Linked DNA regions of Diceros bicornis minor. The main gene of each other region encodes a partner of the protein of the gene in region 4 in a complex. Links are inferred from orthologs where the notes say so. Each region holds a gene or a part of one and is shown on either strand. Other genes may lie near its edges. The genes, in order: TIMM21, TIMM17B, TIMM17A and TIMM50.

Evidence for each region.
Region 1: TIMM50 (region 4) and TIMM21 share a complex: the UniProt entries of both Homo sapiens proteins name them as parts of the TIM23 complex. The link is inferred for Diceros bicornis minor from reciprocal best matches to the Homo sapiens genes TIMM50 and TIMM21.
Region 2: TIMM50 (region 4) and TIMM17B share a complex: the UniProt entries of both Homo sapiens proteins name them as parts of the TIM23 complex. The link is inferred for Diceros bicornis minor from reciprocal best matches to the Homo sapiens genes TIMM50 and TIMM17B.
Region 3: TIMM50 (region 4) and TIMM17A share a complex: the UniProt entries of both Homo sapiens proteins name them as parts of the TIM23 complex. The link is inferred for Diceros bicornis minor from reciprocal best matches to the Homo sapiens genes TIMM50 and TIMM17A.

Annotation. Positions count from the first base shown.
Region 1 is NC_080755.1:62,882,420-62,890,462, reverse strand, and holds the start of TIMM21 (mitochondrial import inner membrane translocase subunit Tim21), read right to left. Parts: upstream 3,018-8,043; 5' UTR 2,708-3,017; coding exon 2,407-2,707; intron 1-2,406. Other genes in the region: FBXO15 (F-box only protein 15), read left to right, coding at 3,731-3,831, 6,880-6,963. UniProt on the Homo sapiens protein: Participates in the translocation of transit peptide-containing proteins across the mitochondrial inner membrane.
Region 2 is NC_080781.1:42,158,103-42,165,571, reverse strand, and holds the start of TIMM17B (mitochondrial import inner membrane translocase subunit Tim17-B), read left to right. Parts: upstream 1-4,352; 5' UTR 4,353-4,419; coding exon 4,420-4,445; intron 4,446-5,294; coding exon 5,295-5,394; intron 5,395-6,424; coding exon 6,425-6,488; intron 6,489-7,294; coding exon 7,295-7,423; intron 7,424-7,469. Other genes in the region: PQBP1 (polyglutamine-binding protein 1), read right to left, coding at 225-381, 541-604, 834-1,118, 1,315-1,427, 1,652-1,763, 3,589-3,655. UniProt on the Homo sapiens protein: Essential component of the TIM23 complex, a complex that mediates the translocation of transit peptide-containing proteins across the mitochondrial inner membrane.
Region 3 is NC_080777.1:30,122,951-30,130,807, forward strand, and holds the start of TIMM17A (mitochondrial import inner membrane translocase subunit Tim17-A), read left to right. Parts: upstream 1-4,611; 5' UTR 4,612-4,664; coding exon 4,665-4,690; intron 4,691-7,857. UniProt on the Homo sapiens protein: Essential component of the TIM23 complex, a complex that mediates the translocation of transit peptide-containing proteins across the mitochondrial inner membrane.
Region 4 is NC_080773.1:13,471,183-13,478,387, forward strand, and holds the start of TIMM50 (mitochondrial import inner membrane translocase subunit TIM50), read left to right. Parts: upstream 1-4,199; 5' UTR 4,200-4,231; coding exon 4,232-4,339; intron 4,340-4,500; exon of another isoform or gene 4,501-4,515; coding exon of another isoform or gene 4,516-4,530; intron 4,531-5,254; coding exon 5,255-5,411; intron 5,412-5,926; coding exon 5,927-5,958; intron 5,959-6,174; coding exon 6,175-6,196; intron 6,197-7,205. Other genes in the region: SUPT5H (transcription elongation factor SPT5), read left to right, coding at 94-262, 379-582, 2,342-2,437, 2,508-2,651. UniProt on the Homo sapiens protein: Essential component of the TIM23 complex, a complex that mediates the translocation of transit peptide-containing proteins across the mitochondrial inner membrane. Has some phosphatase activity in vitro; however such activity may not be relevant in vivo.

The DNA.
Region 1 (8,043 bases), on a different chromosome or scaffold from region 4:
GAAGTCTCTGAAATTGCCCCCCACTGACTCAGACAGTAAATCAAAAACAGTATCACGTTGAAGGGGGAATGGCAGAATAGCGCTATTCTTAAAGACCTAAAGACAGAGGGGTGGTGGTCCCCATCATACTCCCATGTACTACACCAGTCTGCCCCTTACAAAAACCAGACAGAAACTGGAGGATGATAGTGGTCCACTGCAAATTCCACCAAGTAGCAGCCCCACTACAGATGCAATGCCAGATATGATAACTTTACAGAGCACACTAACAAAGCCTCATGGTACTGACCATTGATCTGGAGAATGTATTCTTTTCCTTCTCTGTCGAGAGGGAGCAGCAGGAGCAGTTTGTAGTGACATAAAACTGACAATAACTGTGTATATGTAGGGTCTTGCCCAGGATTTGTTTGCCCTGACATAACATAGTTTTAATGGACCCAGACCTTCTGGATCTGAGCTGTCCAATACAGTAGCTACACACCACACATGGCTATTTGACCTTAATTTTAAAATTAACTTTAAGTGAACTTTAAATAAAAACTCAGTTCCTCAGTCACACTAGCAACATTTCTAGTGCTCAGTAGCCACAGGACCTTATAGGGACAGCACATATATAACATTTCCAACACTGCAGAAAGTTTTACTTAGACAATGCTGTTCTGGACATTCTGCAAAACATCACATTTATCACATTTGTCCACTCTATTTATGCCATCGTGTTAGTCAGAGGCAAAAGTAACAAGTGACAGGTATGTTCTATGTTGGGACACTTGGTAAGACGTATGTGCTTCAAGTGCAGGGGATGAGGCCAACAAAGATCCACGGCTTGCCAACCACATCAGCAAAACTCTTAGGGATATGCTGTATGGGGCATGCTGGGACACCCACCCCAAGTAAAAGACAAACTATTGCATCCTCTATGTCCTACCACGATGTGTGATGGGCCTCTTTGGACTCTCGGGGCAGCATATTCCACATTGGGGGATACTGTTCCCACCCCTTCACTAAGTCACCAGGAAAGCTGTCACCTTTTATGGGGTCCAGATCAGGGCAGGGCTCTGCAGCAGGCCCCAAGTGCAGTGTAAGCAGTGCTGTTGCTGGAGCAGATGACCTGACACATGCTGTCTGACACTTCTGTGCCTGCGACCTCTGCATACAGGCTGTTCATCTGTGCTGAACTTTTAATCACCCCTCACAACCCTGCTCAGAGTATTACGAATCAATGAGTATATTTTTGACATATTCAGCAGACTGCAAAACAACTGGTAGGATACAGTTAAATTTTTTTGTTAAAACCATTAAAAAAGTACATGCACTGAAATGACATAAACCAAAATATTAACAACAGTCATCTTTGTGTGGTATAATCATGGATGTCTGAGTTACTTTTTTTGCTTCCTTTTTATTTTTTCTACAAATTACTTGTAAAATGAAGAATTAATAAGTTAAATTTAAAATGACTTACCTTATCCGTAAGAACTTATCTGACTTTACCTGACAGCACTACATTTCACCTTTCCTATTTTATATGTTCCTTCTATTACTGTACATTTCATAGGAAGGTAAGTGATGTTTTGAACATCTTTATAATATAGAAACTCTAACTCAGTATCTGGACACAACAGCAGTCACTCAAGAGACGTGTTTATTGAGTTAAACTACATGAGTTAATTTCTATGGATTATGACTCAATAATCTTTCTTTCCTATTTATTCTATCCAATTACTCTTTATCTTATGCTCCCTAGTACTTTCTTTGCAGCACAATTAATCTTTTCTCACTGTTTGTTTCACTCTGTATCTACTTTCTTCTTAATTTAGTGGTAAGCTAACTGAGTATAGGATTCTTAGGCATACCCATTAACATCCCTTCCAGTGCTAAGGATAGGGAAAATGGAAGCTCAAGAAATACTCGTGAATGGCTGACCTCAAGAGCACTGGCCTGGATGTTAGAAAGCTGAGATAGGAAAATTTGCCTTTAATTTTCAGTTGTGTGAAAGTGAGGCAGTGTGCCTCCTACATAAAAGGGACAGCGCTCATGTGTCTGAAAGAGTGAATGCGAGATTCAAAGAAGACGAAATAACATCTGGGAAATCGACTTGTCTATTACAAAGTATTAAACAACGGTTAAGTTTCATATAGCTCTCTCCATACCAGAACTAATACAATTTGAGAAAAATTTTCTAGCCATAATTCAACAAAGTTATATTGAAATCAACTTTCAAATTTGAATTCTGTGAAGAAAATTGTAGGCCTATATCTCTGATTCGAAACTGTTTAACGGTTTTACCGTTTACTTTGTGTGAACTGTTTCTCCATCTTTAGCACTGAACTTGTGTAAAGGGGCACTGGCAGCTCTTGTCACGTTTGTTGAAAGACTGATCATTACTGGAGAACTCCTTTTTACCTTTCTGTGACGTTGAGATGGCGGGTTCCCCTCTCTGACTTCTGTGCACAGACACTTGTTTGCTGCTGTCCTCCTTTGCTCTCTGGGGGCTCTGTCCCTGCGTCCAGATAGTTTTCTGGGTGACTCCAAGAATACAGCTAGGTCGCACCGTTTTCGTCCGCTCTTGCAGCCCCCACCTCAAACCCGGCTCAGTCTTCAAACATGCTTTGTTAAGCACCAAGTGTGGCAACAACAATCGCTTCCCCGAGGACCTGTGCAGCTTCTCCGTAAACTGTACAGCTCGTAGAAAAGTACAAATCATGTTCACAGAAAACCGCTCCGCTCAGGGAAGATGCTAACTACGAAAAGCTTCACTGTCCGCTACACACCCGGCAGACGCGTACTCAAGTCTACACATTCACACTGGAAATTCTGCAGGGCGTGTTCGACAAATGTGAGCTCCAGCAGCGTATATTAACACGAAAAGTCTCCCGAAAGAGGCTGACGTCCACCTTCCCTTCCCCTCGGGCCTCTCTTTACTTGAATTATATTGCTCTGATTACCCTCTACGCCGACATTCACGCTCTCCCCGCCATGCCTTTGCAAAGTAACCTGGGAAACCCCTCGTAGTACTGGGAATAGCAGTTCGAGGATCTCACTCCTCACTGAGTGGCCGCAGCGGGGAAGGCATAAGGACTACATCTCCCACAGCGCACCTCGGGAGAGGTGCCGAGCCCTCGCTGGGCCTTTAGGCCTCTCCCAACCTCCCCTGCGCGGGCCCCTTGCGCATGCGCTGCCCGTACGTGGCGCGGTAGGAAGGCGGAGCCGCGTTCGTGGGGGATATGTGGCATAGGCGGTGGTAGTTCAAGAACTTGCAAAAATCAAATTAGCAACTACAAACTGCGTGTTCTTTTGACCCTCTAGAGAGGACTGTGTAAACTGGGAAATTTTCGGTCTCATTGTGGCTTTGACGTTCCTTAGTGGCAAACGAGGTAGCCTTTGCATTTCAGTTTCTTCCCCACGAAACCAGACAGGGAGTGTGAACTACCAGAGAGCCGGCAAGTGGGGAAGGAGGAGGACGCCACAATACCCACGCGGTGTCTTAAACTGCGGGCGGCCTACTTGCCGCGCGGCGTCGAACTTGGGAGGAAGCCTGCCCCCAGAAGTTTCTAGAACCGCTCTTGAAGCGGTAGAAAGCCGTGTCATCTTCGGCCCCTCACCCCGGCTCCGCTTCGCTTCTGCGCACGCGCGTCTCGGAGCGCGCCAGCGTCGATTGGGCGTGGCGCGGCCCGGCGCGCTCCTCCCTCCTGCCGTTGCGCTTCCGGGGCGTCGCCGCCAGGTCTCCATGGCGACCGGACGCGGCAGGCTCTTGCAGCTGCACTGGAGCGGCCTCCAGGCGTCGGGTCTGCAGCTCGGCGCCGTGGGCTGGGCCCCCGGACGCGCCAGGTTCGGGTGATGGTTGGGGGGTCGCGCCCAGGGATCCCCGCGAGGGACCCGTTCAGTCCGCCCTCCTCCCCCGCCCCTTTCCCTTTATTTTCGTTCGTCCCGCTCCGGCGCGGAGCGCGGCTCTCTTTAGTGCGGGAAAGGTCTCTTCAGCCTGGCACGTGGGGTTACCCCGACTCATGATACAAGGAGTGGCGTCCCCAGGAAATCCTCCTTCTCCTCCGTTGGCTCAGTGAACAGGCGCTGTGGGGCGCTGGGAACGTGCTAAGCCCCTGACCCTGGGGCGGCGCCCCCGGGCACCCGCGGGTGAATGCGCGCCACCTGTGAAGGCAGGGACGGTCACCGCTCTCCGCCTGCGGGCGCCGAGCGGGCAGCCCTCCAGAGCGCGCCCCCGAAGTTGCTTCCCTGCTCTGGGACCAGGAATCACCTTTCGTCCTTTTTGTGACTTTATTATAAGTTAGAGAAGTAGAATCAGCTCGTCAAAACCTTATCGATTTTCTCTCCCGCCCACGAAGCGTGAAGGGAGGACACACCAGCCCTAAGCTGATACCTCTAGAAGGCAGGTTGGTCTGGGAGCGTCTCCTGTGGCAGCAGTTTCTGCATCTCCGACGTCAAGGAGAAGTCTATGTGTTTAAGCAAACCCTGGAGGGATGCCTTCTAGATAGCTGCCCCTTGGTGCTCAACTCTTACTCCTGTTCTGCACATCTTCCTGTCTTAAGTGCCAGGGCGTGTGGTGATCTTGTTCTGGTGTGTAGAGACGTCTCTCCTCTGTTTCTCTTGGGGCGCCCTGGAACTGAAGGGTAGTCCTCTTCTGCAGCGAGAGAAGGCAACTTTGAGGAGTGAGATGGGGAAGGGGCCAGGAGCAGGAGGATGCAGCTGCTTTCCAAAAGGATCTTCAGCTTACCTCAAAGGGGAATGGCTCATTTCCCAAAGTGAAAGATGTAGTTCATCAGAAGGATCAACGTGCTATGGTTCCTTATTAAATCCCTCTCGTTTTCTCGTGGGTTGTTGCTAGTTCTGTACCTATGATTCCAGTTAGTTTACTAGGTGGAGGAGTAATGCTAAGGACAGTTTGCATTCTCGAGGATTTTCCTTTTGCTTATAAGTCTTCTTGGTTTATAGATAGAAAAAGTCGTGCATATTATCCCTTCTAATAAACTAAATGTTTAAGCATGAAAAAGGAGTATGTTACGTACCACTTCAACTACTTAAATTATTTTTTGTTTTCCTGAAACTCCAGAACTATGTCCGGTGTTCATCCAAGGGTCATTTACTCCACTTACTCTGGTTTCAGAAGCAGGGCCCTGACCCTTCCTGTTATGATAATGGTTGGTTCTTGAGAATAGCTGTAATGCTAGATATACCACAAGCCTTGTGACAAGTAAAATGGTGACAGTGCCTGCAAAATTTCTATTATGTAGCTGAGAAAGACTGGAATTTAAATAGGAAGCTTGAACTTTAAGTCAATTTGCCACTATTACTAAAATTAGCCTTTAGTGCTCTGTTAGTGGGAAGCAGAATGATTTTTATGATGAGTCTTTTATTACTTTATAAGTTGAGAGAACTTCCTGGTGAAATGATGTAATTAGAGTGCCTATCATTGTGTGCCTGGCATGGGAGCCTGCACGTCATCCTCTGATTTGGTGATGCATACATTCTTTTTGGTAAAGAAAAGTCAGTTGCTAAGAAAGATTGATTATGTCTAAGTAGGTGGTTATTTTTAATTCTCAATTCAGAAACACTAGATTTTAATAAGGAATCAGTGGTTCCCTTTTTAACACATAATGTGAATATGTAGAAATATCGTAAACTGTAAGAAATATAGCAGAAGGCATATCAAGTTGGCTTAATTTCTACTTGGTCTAATTTCTTTGATTTGCCAGATATTAAAAATCAGGCCCAGAGAGTAGATTTTTAAAATATTGAACTTATTCAAAGCTAAAAAGTGTGTTTAAACTGAATGTCATCTTACTAATCATGTCAGCTAAATGTACACTTAACTGTGTAGACATACAGATCTACATGAGGACATGCATGTAACTTACCTATTTGTGAATTGTGTGACCCTTAAAAACATGCAGTGTGTTTATTTTATGGAGAAATGGAGATTTGTTTTCAATTGTACCAAAAGCTATACTGATAAGATACATAATATAATAATACGGTAGAAAGAGCTTTTGAAGGAGTGTCAGGAGATGAAGGTCTCTGGGACTCTCAGTCTCTAGCTTGAGACCTTAAACAAGTCACTGTAATTGCCTCATTAGAGCCTTAGCCTTCTGATCTATGAAATGAGGCACTCATGAGATCTGTTTTCATTATGGGAAAACAAAACAACAACAAATAGGCTGCACTTCTCAAATGGATAGGTGCCAGTGGGCAGGGGATGCATGGGGCATCCTCCCCGACATGTAAAATTAATGCAATGCCTTTGGGGAAAAACGTTAAATAATTTAACTGGTAAGTAATATAATACATTTTTATAATAAGACAAACACAGATAAGTTATCCAGTGGAATGCAACATCTGCATTAATTTTTTAAGATCAAATAAGAGACTTCAAAGAAGTTTAGAGCTTTCTGTAGACTGTGCCCCAGATTTTGAGGGACCTGGTGCCCCAGAATGCTGCGAATGTCTTTGAGGACCACAGCTTGAGCCTAAAGGATTGTGCTATGAAACTGTGATTCCAAACCTTGTGTATGGGATTCTGAGTTTTGAAATTAAAACAGAAAACCCCCACAATTTATTACATATTCAATATATTAAGAAATATTAGAAAATATTTGTTCTGTCCCTTCGATCTTTTAGCCCTCATGTAAAAACAACCACCAACAAAAAAACCTTGTAACCTTGTAATCCTGTGAATCAGGTGTATTATCAGTTAATACCTTGTTGACTTGCTTCTGGACCTCTTTTCTTTGTATGTATGTGCTTACTTTTTCTCTTAAGAGAGAAATACAAAAATAAGATTATGTAGCATATACTGATATAACCTGCTTTTTCAGTTATGTTATTAATTTAGCAGCTATTTATTGAATGCTTTCTGCACACCAGGCATTTTGTGGATGCTGAAGAATCAGCAGTGACCAAAACTCACGCAAAAGACCTGCCAATATGGATCTCGTGTCCCAAAGATAGGTAAGAAGGTAGATAAGTGAAATGCGTAGTGTTGGATGGTGATATGTGCTAAGGAAAAAAAATAGGGAAGGGGCATAAAGTGTGTGTGTGTAGAGTGTGGATTGGAGTTTTAGAGTGCATAGCCAAAGAAGTTCTCAGTGAGAGGGTGACGTTTGCGTGAATACCTGAAGGAGGTAAGGGAGCAAGCCATGCAGACATCTGGAAGACATCGTGAACTTATTTCTCTCTCAGACGCTTTCGCCTGTGTTGAAACTGTCCATTTTAATTGGCTGAACATTGTTAACTGTATGGAGGCCATGCAGTTGAACCAAACTGTATACCGTTTCTAGTATCTTTTGCAGTGCAGACGCCTTTGAGTTGGATGTTCTTGAGTGAGGTCTTTGTGCTCACTTTCTTGCCTTGGGATATATTTCTAGAAGTGAAATTCCTGGCTTAAAAAAAATATGTCTCTTAAAGATCTTGATATACACTACCAGTTGGCTTTCCATACCGTTGGCACCAATTTATGCTGCTAGCTGAGTGAATGAGAAGCCTGTTGCAGCATAGCCAGCACCTGTCCTTATCGTTTATTTGGTCTTTGCCAATTTGCTAGATTGAAACTGATTGATACATCATATTAATTTACTTATCTTCAGTTCCCTTGGAAAGGCCTAGGGTAATAGTTTTTATTTTTGGGGCATCTTTTGATTGAGGAAATATGTAATGACAAAAAGCTCTTATGAGTTTACTAATGCTTTTTTAAACAAATCTATATTTGGTTAACCACAGCAGTATTCATTTAAGTTAAAAAAGCAATAGTATCTATTATTGAAAGACATTTCTCAGTTTTCAAAGTGTGTGTATGGACTCCCAGACTTCTTGTCATGAACCTTTGCAGAGGTCTAAGGGTCACTAGTTGAGAACTCTGAGTAGATATTATTATTATTTGGTGGAGGAGTAACACAAATTCCTTTTACTTAAAGCTTAAGCATTAGAAACCTTTGTTAACTGAAGATATTTTTTCTTTGAATATGTAATAGAGGTCAGTATAGAATTTACAAGAACAGTTAACCACTTAAAATAAGGAATGCTTTTAAATCA
Region 2 (7,469 bases), on a different chromosome or scaffold from region 4:
GAGGGCCTGGAAAGGACCCACCTTGGCTTCCAGCCCCTGCTGCCCCCATGTCCCTGCCAACCCCACACTATTTCTTAGGTGAGTTTTTGCAAATAAAATGTTTTGCATCTTGCCGGCTTGGGTTGGGAAGCCTCGAAAGTGCGAGAGAAGGAAGCACTCAGGCCTCATGGGCATGATCCACTGAAAAGCTTTTATTAAAAACCCTGGGGCAGTGTGGATGGGGTTCAGTCCTGCTGCTTGGTTCGGGAGGCCTCGGCATTGGCCCTGAGCACAGCTCCTGGGGACGGGTAGGGACGCTGCTGGAAGAGGGGCCCAGCTGCTGTTGTATCTGCACCCGTCTTGGCCTCGTTCCGCTTGGGGAGTCCTGTTGACCACGTGCCCCTGGAGGTGACAGAGGATTGGGGGTGGGAATGTGGGATGTGGTAGGCACCCCCCACAACACTGACGAACAGGGAAAGGACATAGTGAGGAAGAAAGGAATGGTCACTGGTACCATGAGTCACGAGCAAAGAGAAGTGCTCATGAGGCGTTGTCACTTACCGGGGCGCATCTGAGTACGAGCTGGGGTCCATGGGGTCTAACTCTTCATCCTTCCGGCTTGCCACTGTGGAAGTAGGTGGCAGAGTGAGGTCTTCAGTGGAGGCACAAGGAGCCTCTCATCAGTGAGTTTCCCCATCCCAGGAAGAAATGGAGCCCGCGGCTGCCACGGCCCACAGCACCTTCTCCCAGGCCCCAGGTTCAGGCACTCGCATGAAGGGAAGTGAGGGCTTCCTTACATTGTGCATCCCTGGCGCCCCACTTGCCTCACTGCAGTCCTGGCCCTGTCAGCTTACCCTTCTTGCTCTTGGGGTAGGGAGCCAGCTCCTCTCGGCGATGGTGGCGCCGTTCTTTGCCCTCTTCTCGGTCTGCCTTGTCATACCCACGGTCCCGGTCCCGATCCCTGTCCCGTTCTCTCTCTCTGTCCACCTTGTCATAGCCACGCTCTCGGTCTCTGTCAGACTTCTCATGGCCCCGGTCTGACTTCTCGTGGCCCCGGTCTGACTTCTCGTGGCCCCGGTCTGACTTCTCGTGACCGCGGTCTGATTTCTCATGGCTCCGGTCTAACTTCTCCTCAGCATCTGGGGACAGGAAAGCTTTGAAGTGACCTTCCTTCTCCCATCTCAGGATCCAGCAGCCTCTGTGTTTGACCACCTCCCTTGCCTGGGGCTGGGCCTGCCTATCGCACCTGATGCTCCTGGATTCACTATCATTTACCTGATCCCTCTCTGAGAACTACTAGAAGCCCTTGAGGCACCCTTGGATCTGCCAACTCACCTGCATTACTGCTCCTGAGCTTCTTGGCAGATTTGGTAACGACCGAGTTGGGGTCATGTGGGGAGAGCCAGGACACGAGGTCTGTGTCCACATTCCAGTAGTAAGGGAGCCCGCTGTGGGGCAGTGGGAGGGAGGGAGGGATAGAGAAGGAATGTCAGCACAGATGTTACCTCCTTGTAGCCTCAACTCTTGTCTCCCCAGTCTCCGCCTCTACCTGGCCCATGTCAGGACCCCGTGGGGAGGACCCCCAGATCTCTTAACCCGAGGTCAGGGACAGCACAGGAAGGATGAAGTCAGAAGTCAGTTCCCTCCCCCCTGGCCAGGTCCCCAGGCTCACCAGGAAGGGTCGAACACCTTGTACCAGCTTGGTGGCAGGCCCTCCAACCGGGTGGCCTCATAGTCCACAGGGTCATCGTCATAGTCCTCGGCAATGATCTCTTCCTCTGGTTCTGGCATGGCGGGGGGAGGAGGAGAGCAGTGAGGAGCAGGGGGATTCTCATCCTACAGTTAGAGCCTGGAGAGACACTAGCATTCACACAGACCACGTGTGTGTGCCAGGTCTCACCGGCCCTGGCAGATACTGCTCACATTCCAAAGCCACTTATCTGGATATCGGGATTTACCAAAAACTGTACTTAAATCTGTTCTGTTTCTGGGTTCACATAAGATATGTTACCCAAAGCTATTACCCAAAGCTATCTGGTTTCAGAGTTTAGATAGGGATTCACCAACAAATGTATCCATATTTATTCAGTTCCTGAGTTCAGGTAGTATGTGACACCACACTATCCAAATCTGTTTGGATCAAATGAGTTTGAACAGCAAGGGGTTTATCTGAAAATATGTCCAAATCTATTCAGCTCCCAAACTTGGCAAATATGGGGTTTCTGACGCCTGTATATTGAGTAGCAAGAGTTTGGATACCAAGGGATTTATCCAAACACTGCTCTGAATCTATTCAGTTCCTGACACATAGTAAGCATGCAGCAGTTGTCAGTTCATATCAGTAAAATTAAAAGGGTGTATATTGTCAGCCCAGTAGCTGACCTTCAGTAGGCCTATCACAGATTTCAGCTGCAGAAATAACTAACAATGAAATGCACAGGCATACCTCAGAGAGACTGCAGGTCTGGTTCCAGATCACCGCAAGAAAGTGAATATTGCGATAAAGTGAGTCACACGGATTTTTTGGTTTCCCACTGCTCCTAAGAGTTATGTTTACACTATACTGTAGTCTATTAAGTGTGCAATAGCATTATGTCTAAAAAACAATGTATATACCTTAATTAAAAGTACTTATTGCTAAAAAATGCTAACCATTCTTCAGCCTTCAGCGAGTCGTAATCTTTTTGCTGGTGGAGGGTCTTGTAAAAAACACAGTATCTGCGAAGCACAATAAAATGAAGTATGCCTGTATATGTCAGCAACAGCATAGTGCCTGTCACACAGTAGGCCCAAAATAGATATCAGCTATAATCATCAGTATTTTTAATAAGATATATATACTCTCAGCACAGGGCCTAGTACTCAATAGGCTTAAAATAAATATCAATGATCATTATCAGTATTATTAACCACAAGATCTATGCCTGGCACACAGTAGGCTTATAATAGATGTCACTTATCAATACGGTGAAAATAAGATGTATTTTCCAGTGCCCGGCATACTATAGCTCAAAATAGATGCCAGCTTTTACTATTATTGACAAGGTATAAATATTAGCAGCAGCAGCACAGTAGGCCTAAATGATAGATCCTATCGTTATTTTATACTGTTAACCATAATGTGTATGCCAGGCACTTAGTAGACCCAAAATACATGTCAGCTATTAATGTGAACAATAAGGTATGTATCACCAGCATAGTGCCTGACACCATGGGAGGTCTGAAATAATGTTATGAGTATGGTAAAGAACAAAGTATTAGCATCCTGCCACTGTACTTGGCGCACGCACAGGAGACTGCAAATGTCAGCTATCTTCACTATTAGATACTTTGTAACCACTTCCATAGATTGATTGATGGATTGAACCTGGCATACAGTAGGCCCAAAATAGTCATCAGCTGTCAGTATTAAGGATGAAATATCTATCTCCCCCATGCCTGGCACATGGTAGGAATGGGTGTCAGGAATCCCCATTTTTAACAGTGAAATGCCTGCCACCCCACTGCCTGGTGCACAGTAGGCCCATGCTAGTTATCAAGTGGCAGTCTCAACAACAAAGTGCCTCTCAAGCCTGGCACATGGTAGGCCCATCTGCTCTTAGCTCTCACCGGGCTCCAGATGTTTGAGGATGCCTCTCTTGGCCAAGCGGGTCTGCAGCGCAACGGGTAGCGGCATAGCGGGTAGCAGACAGACCTAGGGACAGATGGACAGACTAAAAACCAGCTCAGATGAGGACTCAAATCTGGAGCCCGTAACCAAACGCCTCCCCCGAGCATGTACTCATCTGGACCCCCACCTACCCACCTGCAACAGTAGCTGGGTGGACGGAACCTAAGCGGGAGAAGGCGGAAGAGATAGATGGCAATATCACCAAAACTCTCACCAACCCTCCCCTCCAGGCCGGGTGCTCCATGACCGGGTTCCTATCCCAGGCCCAGGCTCCACCCATAGCTGAAGGGGCCAGCACAGCTCCCCCGCGCCCCAGAAATGGGTTCACCCAACGTCCCCCAAAGACTGCCGGGTAGGAGGAACCAAAGCGCTGAGAAGGGGGAGGAGAATGCAGTACTTCCTCCCGCTCCAAAAAATGCGCCCACTCCGACGTTACCAATACAGTCACGCGGGTAGTGGAAGGCTGTCAGACCGGCCGCCTCTCTCTTGTCGCCCCTTGATCACCAGGACCCCACAACTCTCTTCTCCCAAAGCACAGAACGAGGTCCTCTCTCCCCGAGGCTTGGAGTAACTGGATGACGCTCAGGCTGCGGTGAACAGACGACGCAAGCCGGGGTGACCAATGAGAGCGCGCCCTTGGCCTGACGTATGGCCAAGCGACCCAATCGTCGCCCTGGAAGAGTTGGACAGCTCGGGCGCCTGTGTGCGTTTACAGTGGGGGCGTGGCCCGGCCGGGGTTTAGCCAGACTGCGCGGCAGGACGCCGGCGCCATGGAGGAGTACGCTCGGGAGCCTTGGTACGGCGATGGGCACAGGCATCGGGACTGTTGCTGTGGTGCCACGGCCAGCTGTGGGAGGCGGGCGGGGGAGGCACCGGCCACACAGCGCCACATCCCAGACTCGGGAGACGTTTAAAATCTGTCTCCTTTGCTCCCCTCCACTTGATTCCTCCCACTCGGGCTCCGTTAAGAGGGGCCCCAACTGTATACCTGGAAGTGAAGGACGAGCCACCCCACGTTTCCCCTGACTACGTATCTCCCAGCCCCTCTTTGTTAACGAAAAGACACGCTGGTCGAATCCATTCCAGCTGGGGGGTGGTGTGTTGAGCGGAAATCCCCAGGGTTACCACGCGTGGTTTTTCCCAGGTCGCTGTAGTTAATGGGGGCGGGGCCTGGATGAGCCTATTCTGGGCAAGGAGGGGGTGCTGGATCCTCCCCACGGTCGGCTCTCGGTTTTTCCCATTCGCGCGCGGTTAAAAAAGGGGGAAAGGGCGGGGCTTGATTGGATGGGCTCGTTGTCGGAGAAGGGGCTGTGACCCTGTACTGCTTTAATAATAATACTAGCTAGTCAACACTTCTATAGCGCTTGTTTAAACGTGCCAACTCTTTGCTTGTATCAATTCATTTAATCTTTGATAGTAGTAAAGCTGATTCCTTGGTTGACTGCGAAGGGGAGGGTAGGACTGGGCAAAGACTAATATTTTTCCCGTTTTGCACTATTTCTTGCTTAAATGAGGGGAAAAATAATCTCATTATCTGAAGTGCTACTTCCCTTTCAGGTGACTTGGTTTCTTCCAGTTAGAAAGTCCATGTGACATGGCATGGGGGAGGGCACACATTAACCCCATCTCCCCTTCCCGCTTGCAGCCCATGGCGAATTGTGGATGATTGCGGTGGAGCCTTCACTATGGGTGTCATCGGCGGCGGAGTCTTCCAGGCCATCAAGGGCTTCCGCAACGCCCCTGTCGTGAGTCCTGGCCTTCCCTGGGTGGTGCCAGGATCCTGCCCTGTCCGCTTGGGATACTGCTCTGAAAAGTGCTTGGAGCTGCCAGTCACATGCACTTATTCATTCTGGTTCCTGATCGCCTGCTATGTGCCAGGCTTGGCTCCAGGATGAGGGGTTTTGGGAGAACTGCAAACATGGCCTCTGTCCCTCACCCCGCACCCAATTGGAGCTCCTCTGTGGAAATTTTGTGCTGTCAAAATGGTCATCGCTAAATCCTAAATGTGTGTGCAAAGATTTTACCTAGAGGCAGATTCTGGGTCAGAAACCTGGATAGAGGGAAGTGACAGGAGATTAATTGGCAGAAGGAGGGCAGCCTTAAAGTTGAGAAAATGCTTTTAATTTAACATAATCAATTCTGTCTCTTTCTCTGATACCCTTCCTCCTGGGAGATCTCATCAAATGTCATGGCTTTAAATGCCATCCATTTGCCAGGGTCTCTGCAACTGATACATCTAGCCCTGTCCCTCCCCTCATCTCCTGGAACTCTCTTTCCTGGATCTTTGCCTGAGTTTCTCCCTCTCATCCTCAAGGTCTCGGCACAAATGCCCCCTCCTTAAAGAGGTCTTTCCTGACCCCTCAGCCACTACCATACCTCTTCATTCTATTTCTTCTAGGGTGCATAGTGCTGTCTGAAGCTATTGTTTATCTGTACCCTTGCCCAAGATCTGTCTCTGCCACTATGATGTGAGCTCTGAGACGGCAGGGGCCAGGTCTGCCTTATTCACTGCTGTATCCCTGTGGACAGCATGGTGCCTGGCACATAGGAGCTGAGTAATCATTGAATGAATGAATGAGAGCTTCCCAACCCAGCTCTGAGAACACCTATGGTGAGGTGCTCCCCAGTCCCCTTGTTCTTGGCCTCTTCTCCATGTCTCTACCCTTGATACCCCTAACAGGTCTCCCACCCCCTTCCCTCTGTTAAAAGCTAGAAACCTTGTCTGCCAGTCGCTTTAACCCTGCCCTGACTCCCCTCCTCCTCACTTTCTCCCAGGGAGTTCGGCACCGATTGAGAGGTAGTGTCAACGCTGTGAGGATCCGAGCCCCCCAGATTGGAGGTGAGAGGCTTGGGGAGACATAGGAGATGTGATGGCAAAGTTGGGGGTGGTTCCTCCTTTGGGTCTAGACTGCAAGTTGGGGGTCCATATTCTAGCCTCAACTCTGCCTAGGACTTCCTGGGGGAGTGATGTTTCCCAACAATTTAATATGAGTGAGTTCTGGGGTTTAAATCCAGGCCCTGGCTCTTCCTTGCTGTGTGACCTTGGGCTAGTGGCTTAACTTCACTGAACCTCATCTGGAACACGGGGATGATGATAATAACTACCTCAGTCGTTTTGTAATGTATGTAATTTACATGGTACTTACTAAGTGCCGGTTGTTCTGCTGAGCACTTTAATAATATTAACTAATTTGAAATTTCAGAAGTCAAATAGCATGCAGTGCCTAGATCAGGCCCTGGCACACAATAAGGCCTCAGTAAACATTTTAGCTATCATATTGTTAACGGGCTTTCCTAACCTCTTCCTTCTCCATGAAACCAAGATCAGAATTTCAACTCTTTGTGGTAGTTGTGAAGATCAGAGTTGCTTTGTTCAAAGCCATATAGAAGATAGACCTCTTTTGAACACTTGTAACTCGCTCTGAAGGGGAAGGGAGTGTTGATGGCGATTATAGACAGCTTGAAGAAGGAGCTCCCACAGGGACAGATGGGGACTATCCCCACCTCCTTTGCTCTCTGCCTTTGTGTCTGGGTTTTGCTCCCCATTCTTTGCCAGAGCACTCAGGCCTTGGAAGTCCCCAGACCCTGAGCCGTGGATTCTCAGGATTCCCCAGGAACACTAATTAGGCCTTGGTCCCCCTGCAGGTAGCTTCGCGGTGTGGGGGGGCCTGTTCTCCACCATCGACTGCGGCCTAGTACGGCTGCGGGGCAAGGAAGATCCCTGGAACTCCATCACCAGTGGAGCATTGACCGGGGCTGTGCTGGCTGCCCGCAGTAAGTGCCCCAGTCCCTGGCCCCAGCCCCTTCCACCCTGTTCTGC
Region 3 (7,857 bases), on a different chromosome or scaffold from region 4:
CTCCCGAAGAGGAGTCAGGACCTGAATGTAAAGACCCCCTTCAGCAACGGGTCAGCCCTGCATCTCTGGTTCCCACAGCCTTCTCTTCTGGGTCCAGGAGTCTCTGCTCTAGGAGCACACTCAAAAAACAAATCCACAGCTTCCAAACTTACAGGGCAGGACTTGTGGTCTCCTAACCAAACGTTTCTGCATGTAAGTCCCTGTGTCTGCTTTGACTCAGGTCCCACAATTCCAAACAGCTGGCTCTTGTGACGAGCCGGTCTGAAGCCTTCGGCTCCCTAGAGCCCCAGGGACTGCCCGCAGACTCTGAAATTCTTCCCCAGAGAGGCATCACAGCTGGGGCTGAAGGATTTGGCAACCCAGAGCCCAGAGCACAGCCTCCTCCAGCCCCTGCTGTGCGGGACCTCTGCCCCACCCACTCTGCAGGGGCAACCGTTCTCCAAGCTCAGAATCCACTTCCACCTGAAACAGATTCATCCTGAGTATCACGGGATTCTGGTGTGGCCTATTCCCCAGAGAAATGTTGTGTTAGAGGGATGGGCAGAGTAAGGAGGGAAAAGAGACCCCAGGCTCCAGCCAACATACGTGAGGTGGGGATATAGGGAACCAGGACCAACTTCACTAACGCTTAGGGTGGTTCTCAACTGGCTGAATGACCCCAGGAAGGTCACATCTTTAGGAATATAGGGTGGTGGTATGGCGTAGCAGATAAGGCCACCGGCTCTGGAGTCAAATGACATAGGCTCAAATCTGAGATGTGTGACCTTGGGTAAGTTATTTAACCTCTCTGAGTCTTAGGACATAGATGATGGGGATCATACCAGCACCTACCTAAAGAAAAAGGTACCTACTGCACAGGGCTACAGAGTTACCAAACATAGTGAATAAGAGAAGAAGACGATAATAAGACAGAGCATGTGAAGTGCATAACAGCATCAGACATGTTGTAAGGATCTATGTGTTACTACTCAATAAATAATCACACTGGTTCTCTTCTTCTGGGGAGGCTGGAAGTTTTTCCAGAGCAGCAGACTTGGCTCTGGAAGTGAGCCACTGGCTTGGCCCCGCACTGCTGGGATGGGCAGAAATGGGCAGAGGAGAGCTCTGAGACAGAGCACAGGCCAGACTAATGTCTCCCTGAAGGGACAGCAGGGGGAGGGAAAAGAGGGGAGAAAGAGACAAGAGATTGCCTCCCCCCCAACTCCCACCCTGGCCAGGCAACACCCTTCTGCCCACCAAGTAGGCCCAGTCACAGATGGAACCCCAAACCCAGGAGCTGGCTGTGAAACGAGCCTTACTGTCCATGCCCATCTGAGTTTCTTGGTGACCGGAACAGGTGGCACCAGGGGGCAAGGAGCCACATACGTGGCCTGTGACCTCCTGATGGATGGGCTCTTTAGGCCCCCAAGGCCTCTGGCTCAGTGGAGCTCAACCAAGCTAGCCTCTAAGGTGCTAAGCACTGCGTGTCAGGAGGGGCAGGCTCTGAGAACATCCAGCCCCTTCCTCCGTGGGTCGGGTCTGGGAAGAAAGGAGGATTCCAGGTTCTTGTGCTCATCTGTGGTTCACTCACTTGCACACTCCCCACAGAAGCTATTTAAAGCCTGCTCTTCACCCTATGACCTCACTGTCTACTGAAAAGACTGTCTCCTTCTAGAATGAACTCCCTCAGCTACTGGAAAAAAGTAGATAAGACTTTAATATATCTTTATTATCCTGGAAGGAAAACAAATATACTCCAGGGAGGGACGGGAGCCATTTCTCCTTTACTGTCCTGTAATGTAAATAAAGCTGCCCCAGAGGAAGTCACCATGTGAAAGACGTCAGCTCCTAACGCTGATGTGTAGAAACATGACAGGTCTCGGAGGACATCTCCTAGCACACAGCTTACTCCTTCAGCCTTGCTTCTGACACTCTCCACTTCCACTGCCCTAGAACTTCATCACTTGACACAGCCTCATTCTCTCTGCTTCTAGTCTTTTCTACTCTCCCAGTGGGGTCAGCAACCCATCCAGTGACAGCACCACGTCACCCTTGCCTTCATGCCTTCAGTGCTGTCGCCCCCTCTACCATGAATGCCTTACTCTCTCCTCTCCACCTTCCAACATCCCGCCATTCTTCAGGCCACAGCTTAACTGCCGGCTGATCACTAAAGTTTTGCGAGCACATTCTAGCTCCCAAGGTTCTCTCCTCTCTGACCGCCTCCTGTATTCATCATGTCTTATGGCACACATGTTGACATTTTAGAATTTTGACCCAACAATTATTTCTCAAGATCACATTCTTTCTCCCCAAGTACATTTTGAAGACCCTGAGGGTAGAAACCATGTAACTATTCTTTGTATTTTTTCCACTTCAATCTTAAAACTAAGGACAATCCTGAGCACACAGTAAGGGTCTTCTCATGGACTTGGGGTTCTGAATCCCTCCAGTTACTCTCTCCGTCCAGCATCACCTGTGCACCCTTAACATCTATCAGATGTCCATCTTTCTCCAATCCTAGCCTCTATCAGTGGCCCCTCCCCCAAGAAAACAGGAACTAGTCTACCTGTCCAAGAGTGGAAGATGAATGAAAGCTAATTGTGGGGCGGGGGATGGCAAGGGTGGGAAATTACTGTAGGGTGGGGAAAAAGGCACCAGAGTAACTGCCAGACTCAGCACCTCATGAGCTCATCCACCCTGGGGTTCCCAAGGCACCAGGGCATCTCTTCCTGCCTTCACCGGCTTGGCTGGGGAAATCACACAACAGGCCCTGGGAGCCACAGCTCTTTCCGTTCACACTGGACCTATTTTCCCCAAAGCAATCCCCAGAGGACCTGGCTCACAGGGGTTTCAGCAGCAGCCCCTCACACTGGGCCCAGAACACTGACTTTCACCAAAACAGACCCCAGTGTGTGGGACTACCAGCTCACACTCCCCTTCCTTTATGCTAAGTTTTCCCTCAAGGACCCCTACGCCTTTCTTCTATCATTCCTTCATATCATTGACCTTCCTTCAGGGAGGGCCATGCAGTTCCTCAGGCTCCTTTAAGACTCACTAGGAAGAGATTAGAGTACCAAACTCTTTTCTTCCAAGATGGAAATGGATATTTTTGAGGCAAGGGTGACATCTTCCTCCTCTAGCCAACAAAGGCCTAAGTCCTAGGCCTTGCCTAGCCAAAAATGTCCTGTTACACCCTGTCCTCTGTTGCTGTCACAAGAGAGCAGAGGGAGAGAAGTCTAAGAAAGCTCGCTGGCGCCCTGAGCAGTGCCTCCCGGAACAGTAAGCTCCTTTAGGACAGGAACTGTGGAAAGAAGTGAGCTGGCTGAGCACAGCCTAGAGCTGGCCTCCAGCTTTGTAAGCTCAGAATTATCACCATTCCTAGTGATCGATTTGATTCAAAAGAACCGAGCTCACAAGAGGCAAATGCATAAACCAATATAACTACCAAGTGGACAAGGACAATTACGAGCACAGGCCAGGGTGTTTTCTCCTAAAGGAAAATCTATTCAGAAACCAATAACAACCAGAAGATTGCATAATGAATATGGAATAAGGGCAAAGGGAGGTGGCTAGAGCTATGGGATATTTCTCTGAATCCTGGTGAGAACAGAAAGAAATATCCTCGCCCCATGAGAATGCAATCCTCCAGTTACTGAAATGTTTATACCACTAGATCTGGAGTGCGGACTAAACATCAAATTCTTGCTCTGCGTTTGTTTCTCTTTCTGGGTTCCATGTTGCCCATCTCCTACATTCTCTCCTCAGCCTGTACAATTAATTAGATTGAAGCGTTCCTAATTACAGTCACACATTCCAAAAAGGACTCCTCGAGCTTACATATCCAAATCAGACGACTAGTTTGAACTGTTCTTCTCACACACAAGATACATTTCACTGACAATCTTCAGTTCTACCAAGGGTTCAGTTATCTGCTCACCTTATTTCCAAGATTTTGGAGGGAACCTCTCTCTTCCCTGCAGCTTCCTATTATTTATTACACTAACTTTTCCATAAAATAAATACAAACATACTTTAAAGTCAATCTCAAAAGTGCACAATGGAGAAGAGCTCCTTTAACAGCCGTCACATGACAGGTTTGCTTGACTGTAGGCTAAAATGGGCCAGTGGGTCCCCATCATTTTGGTCTCCTCTTCTCTGGGCTAAACACCCCTCACATCTTCTGCTGATCGTTGGAGGGAGCCCCGGAGAGGCCGTGTTCTCGCTCTTCCCAAATCGGCAGGGCACTCCAGACAGCCCTGGTGGTTCCTGGTCACAAACATTTAGTGACCATCTACTACATTCCAAGCCCTGCGACTATGAAGGAGGAGGACACTGTTTGCCCTAAGCAGCTACATGTGGGAGCTTCACAAATCATGAACTGTCCTCACGAAGCCGGGCGAGCCCTAGAGGAACGCGACCACATGTATATCAACGCAGACCCTGCCCCCGTGGGCTCGCACGCCCGGCTCACACAGCCAGACCCATCCCCTGCGAGGACCTGGGCGGGGCCTATCCGCCCCGTGGCCCCGCCCCCTGCCCGCCGGAGTCCGGCTCCCATTGGCTGCGGGAGGCAGCGAGCAGCCAATCCCCGTAGATGTCAACGCCCGCCTCTCGGGATCACTTCCGCCGTGACCAGCACACGGTCGCCCGGTTTTCCCGGCACCCCTCGCGCCGCCGGAGCCAAGATGGAGGAGTACGCGCGGGAGCCGTGGTGAGTCTGCCCTGGGCCTATCCGCTCCACCCCTGCCCACGGTCCCGCGCTGCCCTGTCCGTCCCCGAGGGGCAGGCCCGGCTCCGCCGCAGGTTTCTCCGCCCCAGGCCGCGTGAGGCCGCCCCGCCACCAGCGCTGGTGACCTTGCGGGGGGCGGGGCGTTGAGGAGGTCCAGGGCTGGGTTGGAGGGACCGCGGGCCTGCCCCCCACCCGGGGCCCAGCGACCTGCTGCGGGGTCAGCGCTCGTCCCCTCTGCCCGCCGAGTGATCTTGGGCGCTCCCTGCGCCTCCCGCCCTGTTCTGGTTGAGCAGGGGAGCTGGGTTTCCGAGGGGCGCCCCTCTCGAGGCGTCGTTTATATGGTCAGATGTGTCCGCAGGGCCGAGCATCCTAGATCGCAGGAACGTAGATTTACCCAAATGGCCTAGGTGAGCGCCTGTAGGCAGGAGCCTCTTTTCGGTGCTTGGAATTCTCCCTGGGGGAGGGGGCTGGGCAAACATTATCGGGAAAATAGAGTAGCATGTGTCCTCCGGAAAGCTAGGAACAGAAATTCGTACATTCAGCATCTATGGAGGGAGGGCTCTGTCCTCAGCGCTTGGTTAGGTTCAAGGGATAGAAGCATGAATACATCAGGCACATAAAATAGTTATAAAACGGTGTGATTGCTATCAGAAGTCTCAGGTTGCCTGAGTTTAAGGCTTCTGGGGTCATAAGTGAAAAACCAAATCTTGTTATTTGGGTTAATCGTCTGTTTTATTGTGTAAGAGCAGGATCCAAGGTGTTCTCAAGTCGTGAAAGGGCCCAGGACATTTTATTATTACCTTCCCGACAGTAGCTGTGCTGCCTGCTTTGTGACTTTCTTTCCCTCTCAAACGGGATACAGGGTCTATGTTTCAGCGCCTTCTGGCTCTTTAAAATTACCTCTTCCCAAGGGGGTACTTCTCCCCCTTCCTGGGTTGTGCTCAGATGCGTGAGACTCCGCACGTTGTACACTGCTGTTATCAGCTGCTGTTGAATGTGGTCTAATGAATGACACAGGTTGTCAGGAGGGCGAGTTATTTAACTTTGTTGAGTTAAAGATGTTCTAAGAATCATGTTTTTACCTGCTAATTCATTAGGTAGCCCCTTTGCTTTCTCTTAGTATGTATGTCCTGAAGCAATAGTCAGTTGTCCTGTTAGTTTTGTAGTCCACTGCCTTGGTCTTCTGGACTGCCCTGTTTGGTAAGAGCATTTTCTCAAGTCATCCAAGCTCAGACTACAGGCATCTTTTTCCTTCTTCCGCACCCCCCTCCCCCAGTATGCATCTGAATTCTTTCAAAACTTCTACTGTTCAGATCCTGTTGTCAGGCATCCTTTATGCCTTTTACAGTAGCTTCCTTAATTGCTTTCCGTACCTCCAGCCCCATTTAATACATCATATGGACTTATCCTAAATACTCTTTTTACAGTATGTTTTCTTTTCAAACACCCTTAGTCTATCTATGGTACAGTGGAAGGAATTTGGGGGCTTTGGAGTACTAGGTTTTGTATTTAAATTGGTCCTACTAGTTATCACCTCTATGACCTTGATCAAGTTATTTAATCTGTGTCTGAGCTTCTGTTCATCTGTGAGATGGTGAGGAGACAGACATACTCTTTTTTTTGTAAAGTTAAAAGATTAGGGATTCTATAGGAAAATAACCTAGCTTTCTTGAAAATCATGTTTTATTTGCGTTGTAATGCACTTAGAACATAGTTGATACTTGATAAACGATAACTTTTAACCGTGTTACTGATTCTCTGTTGCCTGTATTTCTCTGGCACTCGCATTCTTTTAGAGTCTGGATTCAACCTTCCTTTTATGTAGCCCATCACTTCCCTGCTGGAACGTTTTGATTTAGCTAGACTTTGCTCAGAAGCTATTTCCATCTTGCCTTAGTTTTGGACATCCTCTCTTGGGATACTCTGGCTGCTCTCTAATCTGAATCCTGCTGTTCTTTACTGATTTTTTTTAATGCTCATTAATTTCAGCTCCAACTAATTATAAGATCAGTTAGGCTAGATCTTTTAATGTTACCCACCACTCAGAGGGAGCCACTAATTCATTCTCCTTTGTCCTTCCTCTTTACTTCCTATTAATGTTTCTATAATTTTAAAGAAATTTTCCTAATCCTTTTTAATCTCAAAGCACTGCTTCTCAAACTCTTAAAGTAAAACCAAGTCACCCGTGGATTGTGTTCAACAGCAGACTCTGATTCAGTAGGTCCTGGGTGGGGCCCAAGAGCCTGCATTTCTAACAAGCTCCCAGGTGTTGCTGATTTTGCTTTTAGGACCGTAGAAGCAAGCCCTGGGTAGCAAGGCCCCAAAGCATCTTGCTGACAACTGGAATATGTGCTACATGAGACAGTCATTCTGTACCAAGTCCTGATTTGTATTATATTTGAAAAGGGTATGGTGTTTTGACTCCTAGGTTTTGTGTTTCTGTTTGGCAAAGTCAGAATTACTCATTATATCAGATTCTCCAGCAGCAACAGTATGCTGAGTTCACACGTTTCCTTGAGCATGGATTGCCCATGGATTCATTATGGCATTTGACCTTCGAGACTAGATAAAAGAAATTTCTTTTGTTTATAGTGGGTTGAAAATGAAGTTAACTATTCAGAGTTTTTTATAAGCCAGATTCCTAGAATAGTGGTTCTGTTTTACTGATCGGATTACTCAGATTTCAGTGTATTGTGTAAGTTAGGGTGCTACATTTGGAAGCTGGGTTTACAAATTTAACTTCTAATTATTGGATAGTAGAGTATTCCAATGTGTTAAATGGATCTGATACAAACAAGTTCCGAATGCTAGCTGGGACGCAGTAAACCTGGGAAGAATTTCAGACTTCTTAAAAATTTTAAAAACTTGTTTTCCTCTGCACCTATTGAATCTTCATTCTTCGGGTCTCAGCTTTAAATTTTACGGCTGGAGAGCTTACCCTGATCCCTAGGAGACTGGATCAATTGTTGGTCATAATGTAATTTCCGACATACTTGTTTATTCACTGTTGCACAGTGCCTGACTTGTAATGGATACACTTATTGTGAAATGAATGAAGTGCTGTTAACAGTAGGGAGTTAAAGCCAGTTTCATTCCTTCTACCTTAGATGATTTGGGGCTGAGTAAATATGGGGATGTTCAGATTCCTT
Region 4 (7,205 bases):
GGGCTAGCCCTAATCAACCCCTGCCCGCTGCCACCACCTCCGTCTCTTTCCTGCGTCCCCAACAAATGCCCCCTTCTCTCCTCGTCTCTGCAGGTACAACACAGACCAGTTCTCCCCCTATGCCGCCCCCTCCCCCCAAGGCTCCTACCAGCCCAGCCCCAGCCCCCAGAGCTACCACCAGGTGGCGCCAAGCCCAGCGGGCTACCAGAACACCCACTCTCCAGCCAGCTACCACCCCACGCCCTCGCCTATGGCCTATCAGGTACTGGTCAGCCTGCATGCCCCCGAGGGTGGTGGGGTAGGCTGGGCTGTGGGCCTAGAAGAAGAACCAGGCCAGATGACCTATTCCCAATGACACCTTCCCCCTTGCCCCTACAGGCCAGCCCCAGCCCGAGCCCTGTTGGCTACAGTCCGATGACACCCGGGGCCCCCTCCCCTGGGGGCTACAACCCGCACACACCCGGCTCAGGCATTGAGCAGAACTCCAGCGACTGGGTAACCACTGACATCCAGGTGAAGGTGCGGGACACCTACCTGGACACGCAGGTGGTGGGGCAGACAGGCGTCATCCGCAGTGTCACGGTAAGCGGGGCCCGGCCTGGTGGGTGGTCGGGCGTCCTCTCTTTTGGGGCCCCCAATCTGTGCTTGCTGGGTTTTTTTCTTCTAACTGTCTCACCACATCTTCCAGTACCCGTTTACAGCTGGAAAACCTGGAAAGGTTGGGCATGCAGGCTCCACAAGGTGGGATTCCTGCCTGTTGTGCTCACGGCTGCAGCCCCAGCAGCTTGGAGCAGTGACCAGCACCCAGGAGCGTGGTTCCTTTTGGACATACACCTCTGAGATCAGAAACATGAACTGGGTGCTCCCCTGTGCCGGGCTACAGCTTAGCACCGGCACCCACCCTGGGCTCTCCCTGCTCCAGCACTGCTGGCTTCTCCAGTCTTCATCGTCACTGAGTTCCCTCCAGCCGCAGGGCCTTTGCTCGTCACTTTCCTGTGTCTAGAGATCTCTTGCTTCCATTCTTTGTCTACTTCACTCCTCCTAATCCAGGGAAGCACCTAGGCTCTCTCAGGTCTGTCTCTTATGGGTCTGTGTGATGCTTTTTCTTGTTATCTACCTGCAGCCTAAAAGCTTAATGTTTACCCTGGTGTGATTCTTTGATTGCCAGGCCTATATTTCATTTCGAAGTAGCCCCAGTTCCTAGATGAGGGACTAGCACCTTGTTGGTCCTCTGGTAAATATTAATTAAATTAATTAAACAACCACCAGAAACCAAGACAGCTCTAGGCCCTGCCCTCACAGATCTCACATTCCAGTGGGAGAGACAGACATGTTGCAAGACAGCGACAGCCCGAGTGGCCAGAGCTGGGATGCGGGAAGCCCAGAGGGCAAGGGGAGCTCTGTGAACCTAGAGGAGGCACCTTACCCAACTTTGGAGGGGAGCAGGGAGGGCTTCCTGGAGAAGGAGACATCTGTGCCGAGACCCGAAGAATGAATTAGGAGTAAGCCAAGAGAAATGGCTGGGGAAGGGCTTAAGTGTGTTTCAGAAAGAGGAGTTGTGCAAAGGCCTGGAGGTGAGGGAAAGCCTGGGACATTTAGGGAGTGAAGTATGTTCATTGTGGCTAGAACATAAAGAGCCAGGAGGAAGGTGAGTGCTGAGGCCAAAGAAGTGGCCGGGCCAGGTCACATGCCAGCCTGGGGAACTCGGACCGTGTCCTGAAGGGACTGGGGGTCATAGAGGAATCTAAGCAGGGGAGTAGTGGATCAGATCTATGGTTTGGGATTCATTCATTATGTTGCCCTATCAAGGATGGATTATGGGTGCTGAGACTGGGGGCTGGGAGCCCAGGGGGAAGTCAGGCTGCATACAGGGCCATGGGGAAGAGAAGAGGGGGGAGGTAGGAGAGACCCTCACAAGGCTGAATGGACAGGCCTTGGAGCTGGAGTTTGTCGGTGAAGGAGTTGACCAAGACAAGGTCCAGAGCTCTGGCTGGGGCCTGGGGACCGTGGGGCCACCCCTGAGACGGAGGCCCAGGAGAAAGAGCAAGTGTGGGGAAGGAGCTGAGGCCAGTTTGGGACACAGAGCCCAGTGCCTGAGAAGCAGTCTCCCTTTTGGCCTAAATTGCTTCATTCGGGTGCTTTCTTTGCTTATCTGGTCATCCCGCCCCCACACACCACTGACTCCAGGCCTTGGAACCAGGCCTAGCCTTGCCTTTCCCGCCCCTGTGTCACCTTGGGAAGGTGACTTCTCCGGATGAGCCCTGAGCCCGTGTCCCCTGAGTTTGGACATGAGTCCTGTGTGGGGAGCAGGCCAGGCTCACCAGGTTGTCCTCACTCCCAGGGAGGCATGTGCTCCGTGTACCTGAAGGACAGCGAGAAGGTGGTGAGCATCTCCAGTGAGCACCTGGAGCCCATCACCCCCACCAAGAACAACAAGGTAAGGGGAGGCAGGGGGTGTGGGGGCACTGGGCTGCTGATGTGGACCCTGACCCCGTGCCCCCCACCAGGTGAAGGTGATCCTGGGCGAGGACCGGGAAGCCACAGGTGTCCTGCTGAGCATCGATGGCGAGGATGGCATCGTCCGCATGGACCTTGACGAGCAGCTCAAGATCCTCAACCTCCGCTTCCTGGGGAAGCTCCTGGAGGCCTGAGGCAGGCAGGTCACGTGGACTTGGGCAGACATCTGACAGATGGAGAGTGTCCCTCCTTCCTTCCCTGGCCTTTGGCTCTGACTCAGCATCTGGGGCCTGGCGTAGGGCTAGCCTGATTGTTCAGGATTTCTTTTATTTTCCTTTCTGGGTTCCTGTCTCCCTCCCTGATGTTCATGGGGATGAGAGTAGAGTCTGGGGAAGGGTCCCCACCTTGTACCCCCCCTTCCCCAGCTTGCTTTTGTGTTATAGTCTTTCAATAAAAAGCTGTTTGGTCAAAAGTCCTGTGTGTGTGTGGTCCAGTTTGTAAGTGAGGTCATTTGCAGACCCCACTCCCTTGCTTTGTGGTCTTGGGCAAATAACTGGGTCCTACCTAAGCCTCAGTTTCCCCGCTAGAAAATGATAGTGCCTCCCCCAGAGGGCTCTTGAGAGGAATGCATGAGAAGACTCGAGAAAGATTAGAACAGAGGCTGCCAGAGCCTGCATGTGATCGATGAAGTTACATCTTCCTCAGGCTTGAGTTAGTGAGGTGAAAATCACAGTCAGTGTCCCCCAGGGAGCCTAAGTTCCTCCTATGGAGCAGGATACAGCCTTTGATGATCCTTCCTCTTGAGGCCACACAGCAGTGACACCAGAATTGCTGTAGCTGGTCTGATGGCATGGGGGCTGGGAGCAGCCTACCCCCTGATCCTCCTTCACCTTCCTCTTTTGATATTTACATGTCTTTTTACAAAGGTAATGTAAAATGTGCTATAAAATATTTCAGATGCTCAGAAAGATATACCAGAACACCCGTGTCCCACCGCCCAGCTTAGGAAACGGTATGGACCAGACAGGACCCGCCTCCGCAGCTCCCCCAGTCCACTCCCCGCGGGGTCACCACAACCCTGAATTCCCGTGTCTCTTGCCCAACTTTGTACTTTTACTACGTTAGTATTTATCCTCAAGTGTTCTATGGTCGGTATACATGTTTTTAAAGTTTACATAAATAGTATCAGACTTTTCCTTCTCAAAATAGTTTGAGGGTCATCGTCATGGCTCCCGTAACCTCTAACTCATGGACCCCTCTCTCCATGACCCAACCCCGCCAGGCGCGGCGGCGGTTCCTTTGGCCCCATGAAGAGCTTGGCTTCCCAGACCCTTTATAGGAAACTTGCGGGAGGCCCGGGTACTGACAGACTCGGCCCCACGTGAGGAGAGGGGGGTGAGGCTGCCTTTCAGCCCGCCTCCCGGGCCGCCCCCTCGGGCGGGCCGAGCTACCTGACTCGCGGCTTTCGCTCTTGAGGACAAATCGAGCAGCCACTGGGATCCTTCCTTACGGCTTCCGCTTTCCCGCTGAGCACGTGGTAGCCGCCCGGTCCCGTAGCAGGAGCAGTGGAGCGCCCGGCGGTCGGAGGGGGCGTGGTGCCGGCTGACTCAGTTCCCGCGCCGGGGGCACCGGGAGGCGTGCGCGTCCGCGGCGGTCCGCCCGCAGCCCTTTGTCTCTCTCGGGCTCCCGTCCACCCGGCCCGCCCCTGCGCCCCCATTGGCCGCAGCCCCGGGGAGGGGAGCGAGTGGGCGGGGCCGCGTGGCGTCAGCGCAAGATGGCGGCCTCGGCGGCGCTGCTCCTGCGCTTGCGGAGCGGGCTCCGGCCCGGCGCGCGGGGGCTGTGCGCTAGGCTGGCGACGCCACCTCCCCGGGCTTCGGGCCAGGTGAGCGGGCCGGGGTGGCCCCCGGGTGCGGGGGCCCCTCTCTGGAGTTTCGAGCGGGCCGCTGCTGCCCGGGGGTTCTGGAACGCAGCACTTCAGCGTGCTGAATGGAACGCCGCCCGCGTTTTGGGGTGCTTTCCTGCCTCCGGGAGTAGGCAACGCTTGTCCTCCCTGGCTAGATGCTGGGGGCTCAGGTGCGTCCTCTGGACCTCACCTCCTCTGGACCCCACGTGGGCGCCTGGGTAGGAGGTCACCTGTTCCATCTCAGTGACCGCTCGGGTAATACTTGAAGGGGAGGGGCCCGGGACGCTGGGGTGCCAGCCTGGCTTTGGAGGTGTTTCCCCGCCTTAGTGGTGGTGAAGTAGAGGTTCGAGGTTCTGATTCGATCTGCCTCCATGTTGATAGAGATCCAGCCATTCTGACCTCCAGGGCCATCACTTCCTTGCTGTACTTCCCCAAGCCCCAGAGAAGCGATTGCCCCTCCGCCCCCGCTCCCATCCCTTCTCCTCTATCTTGCTACTGTGAGCCCCAGGCGTGCGGAGGCTTTAACCCCTCGTCCTGTCCCCTTATGTGGCCTCTGTTGCCTTGCTCCAGGCATCCCAGTGTCCAGCCAGTCTCCCGATCTCATCTCCCTGCCCTGCTTTTCCGGGCTCCAGGCCCTCCAATCCTTTGCCTCCAGGATCCTGGGCATCCGGCCTGTCAGCGCTCGAATCACTGGGATCCTGGCGCCGGACAGTCCAGTTCTTGACCCTTCTGAGAGACCCAGTCTCTTGGCTGCCCTTCCAGGGACACATCACCTGGAGGCCATATGGGTGTCCACTTCGTGGCTCTTGAGCTTGGTTCTTCAGCCAGGGTGCCCGAACCACTCTGACCTTCTCTCTCTCCTCTCTTGGCCAACCTACGTTCTCTCAATCACAGGCTGCAGAGATCGGGATCCGTGCGAGCACAAAGGCCCAGGCCCAGGGGCCACAGCAGCAGCGGGGCACGGAGGGTGCCAGCTATGCCAAAAAAGTTGCCCTCTGGCTTGCTGGGCTGCTCGGTGCTGGTGGAACCGTGAGCGTCGTCTATATCTTTGGTGAGGGACATATCCCTGTCCCCCAGTCTTGTTCTGTTGGCCCTTTTTTCTACTGCAGAATCTCTTTCTCTTTCCGCTCAGGGCTCACCCGTCTTCATTCCCTGGCTGCTCCCTCAACAGGGCAGCCAACTAGAACATCTACCTTGGAAGTGGGGAAGGTCTCCCTTTTACCCACTCTGTTCAAGGTTCTACTCTTTCTGGTGGTTCCTGCACTAGGCTATAGGGAGTCAGTGGGAAGAGAGGAAGACGGGGGAGGATAGGCCTGGACCGGCTTCCTAAGCTACTCTTCCTTCAGCACCCAAAACTGCAACCCTCCCCCTGGTCCCTTCATCCCTCAGAGACCCAGGAGACCCAGGGATCCTGGCTACCAGCCCCCTCCTCTCTTGATCTTAGTAGACCATGCCTCTAGCCCTCTTTCCTCAGACCCAGGAGTCCAGCCCCCTGCCCTCTTTTCTCCCTCAAGATCCAGGAGACCAGGCCCCAATGCCTCTCATTCATCCCTGTCTCCCTTGCAGGAAACAACTCTGTGGATGAAACTGGTGCCAAGGTGAGGGGGAAAGAGACCCAGAGGCCTTGCCAGGGGTCCCATCCTGTGGGTCCCCTCCCCTGTGGTCTGTGCAGGCTCATTTCTGGTCTGGGGTGAGCCTCTTCCTCCCAGGGACCTTTGCCTACTTTTCCCAAGGCTCTGGAGATTTCTTTTCTGGGTGTGATGGGATTCTTTCTCTGCCATCCCAAACCCTCCATTTTTCTCTCTACCTCCCAGATTCCCGATGAATTCGACAATGGTGAGTAAACAGCACAGATTCTGGGGTCCCCGACCCTCCCTACTCTGCCATTTGTAGGAGTGTTGCCCTCCCCATCTGGTACCCCTGGCTCCTCCTCCTGTTGTGGGGTGGGGGAGTCAGCAGCTGGATGGCTTTGGGGGGAGGGGCATTACAAAGCACCAGTCCCCTTCCCTGTCCCCTCAGCCCAGGAGCAGATGGTCAGGGGCAGATGGGGGAGGGGAATCCGGGGTGGGAGTGCTTGGGGATGCGGGGCTCTCTGTTGCCAGACACATGGCTTCCTGTGCCTTAGATCTGAGCATCTGCGGTCCCTAACCCCCTTCTCTTTATGACAGCCTCCTTTCTCCCCGCCAAGCCCCATACCCCATCCGGCTCCTCATGTCCAAAACAATGCCTCCTTCCTCCCTTCCCCTGCTGGGTAACCAGCTTTTGAGGAGTTTCTGACAAATTGGATAGTAGAGAGTAGTTGTCAGTTCTATCACACCTGGCCCTTTCCAGGAGAAAAATAAAATTAGTAAGTCCAGAAAGCCACCTGTTTGTGCTGGGGAAGTTTACAAACCAGCACGTTAATCCATTGATTGTTCTAAACAAGGCAGGTGGGTAAGTATGCTGTTTTAACTGGGCAGATGTAGAATCATACTGGTATAAACAAATCAGTATACTGATTTGAATTGGGCAGGTAAACATGCGGGTTTAAAATGTGTGTATTTATTAACTTAAGTGGTTTCCATATTTTGGTTTGGAAAAGACAGGCCCATAGATAGTAGTTTAACTGGACTAAAAATACTGTATTGAAGTAGGCAGTCATGTAAGATTCTTATTTTAAACTGGATTCAGGATATTCATTTAAAGCAGGATTTTTCAACTTTGGCCGTATTGATTCTTTGGATCAGATAGTTCTTTGTTGTTGGGGAGTGTCCTATGCATTGTAGGATGTTTAGCAGCATCCTGGCCCTCTACCCACTAGATGCCCATATTGTGACAATCAAAAATGTCTCCAGACATCGCCAAA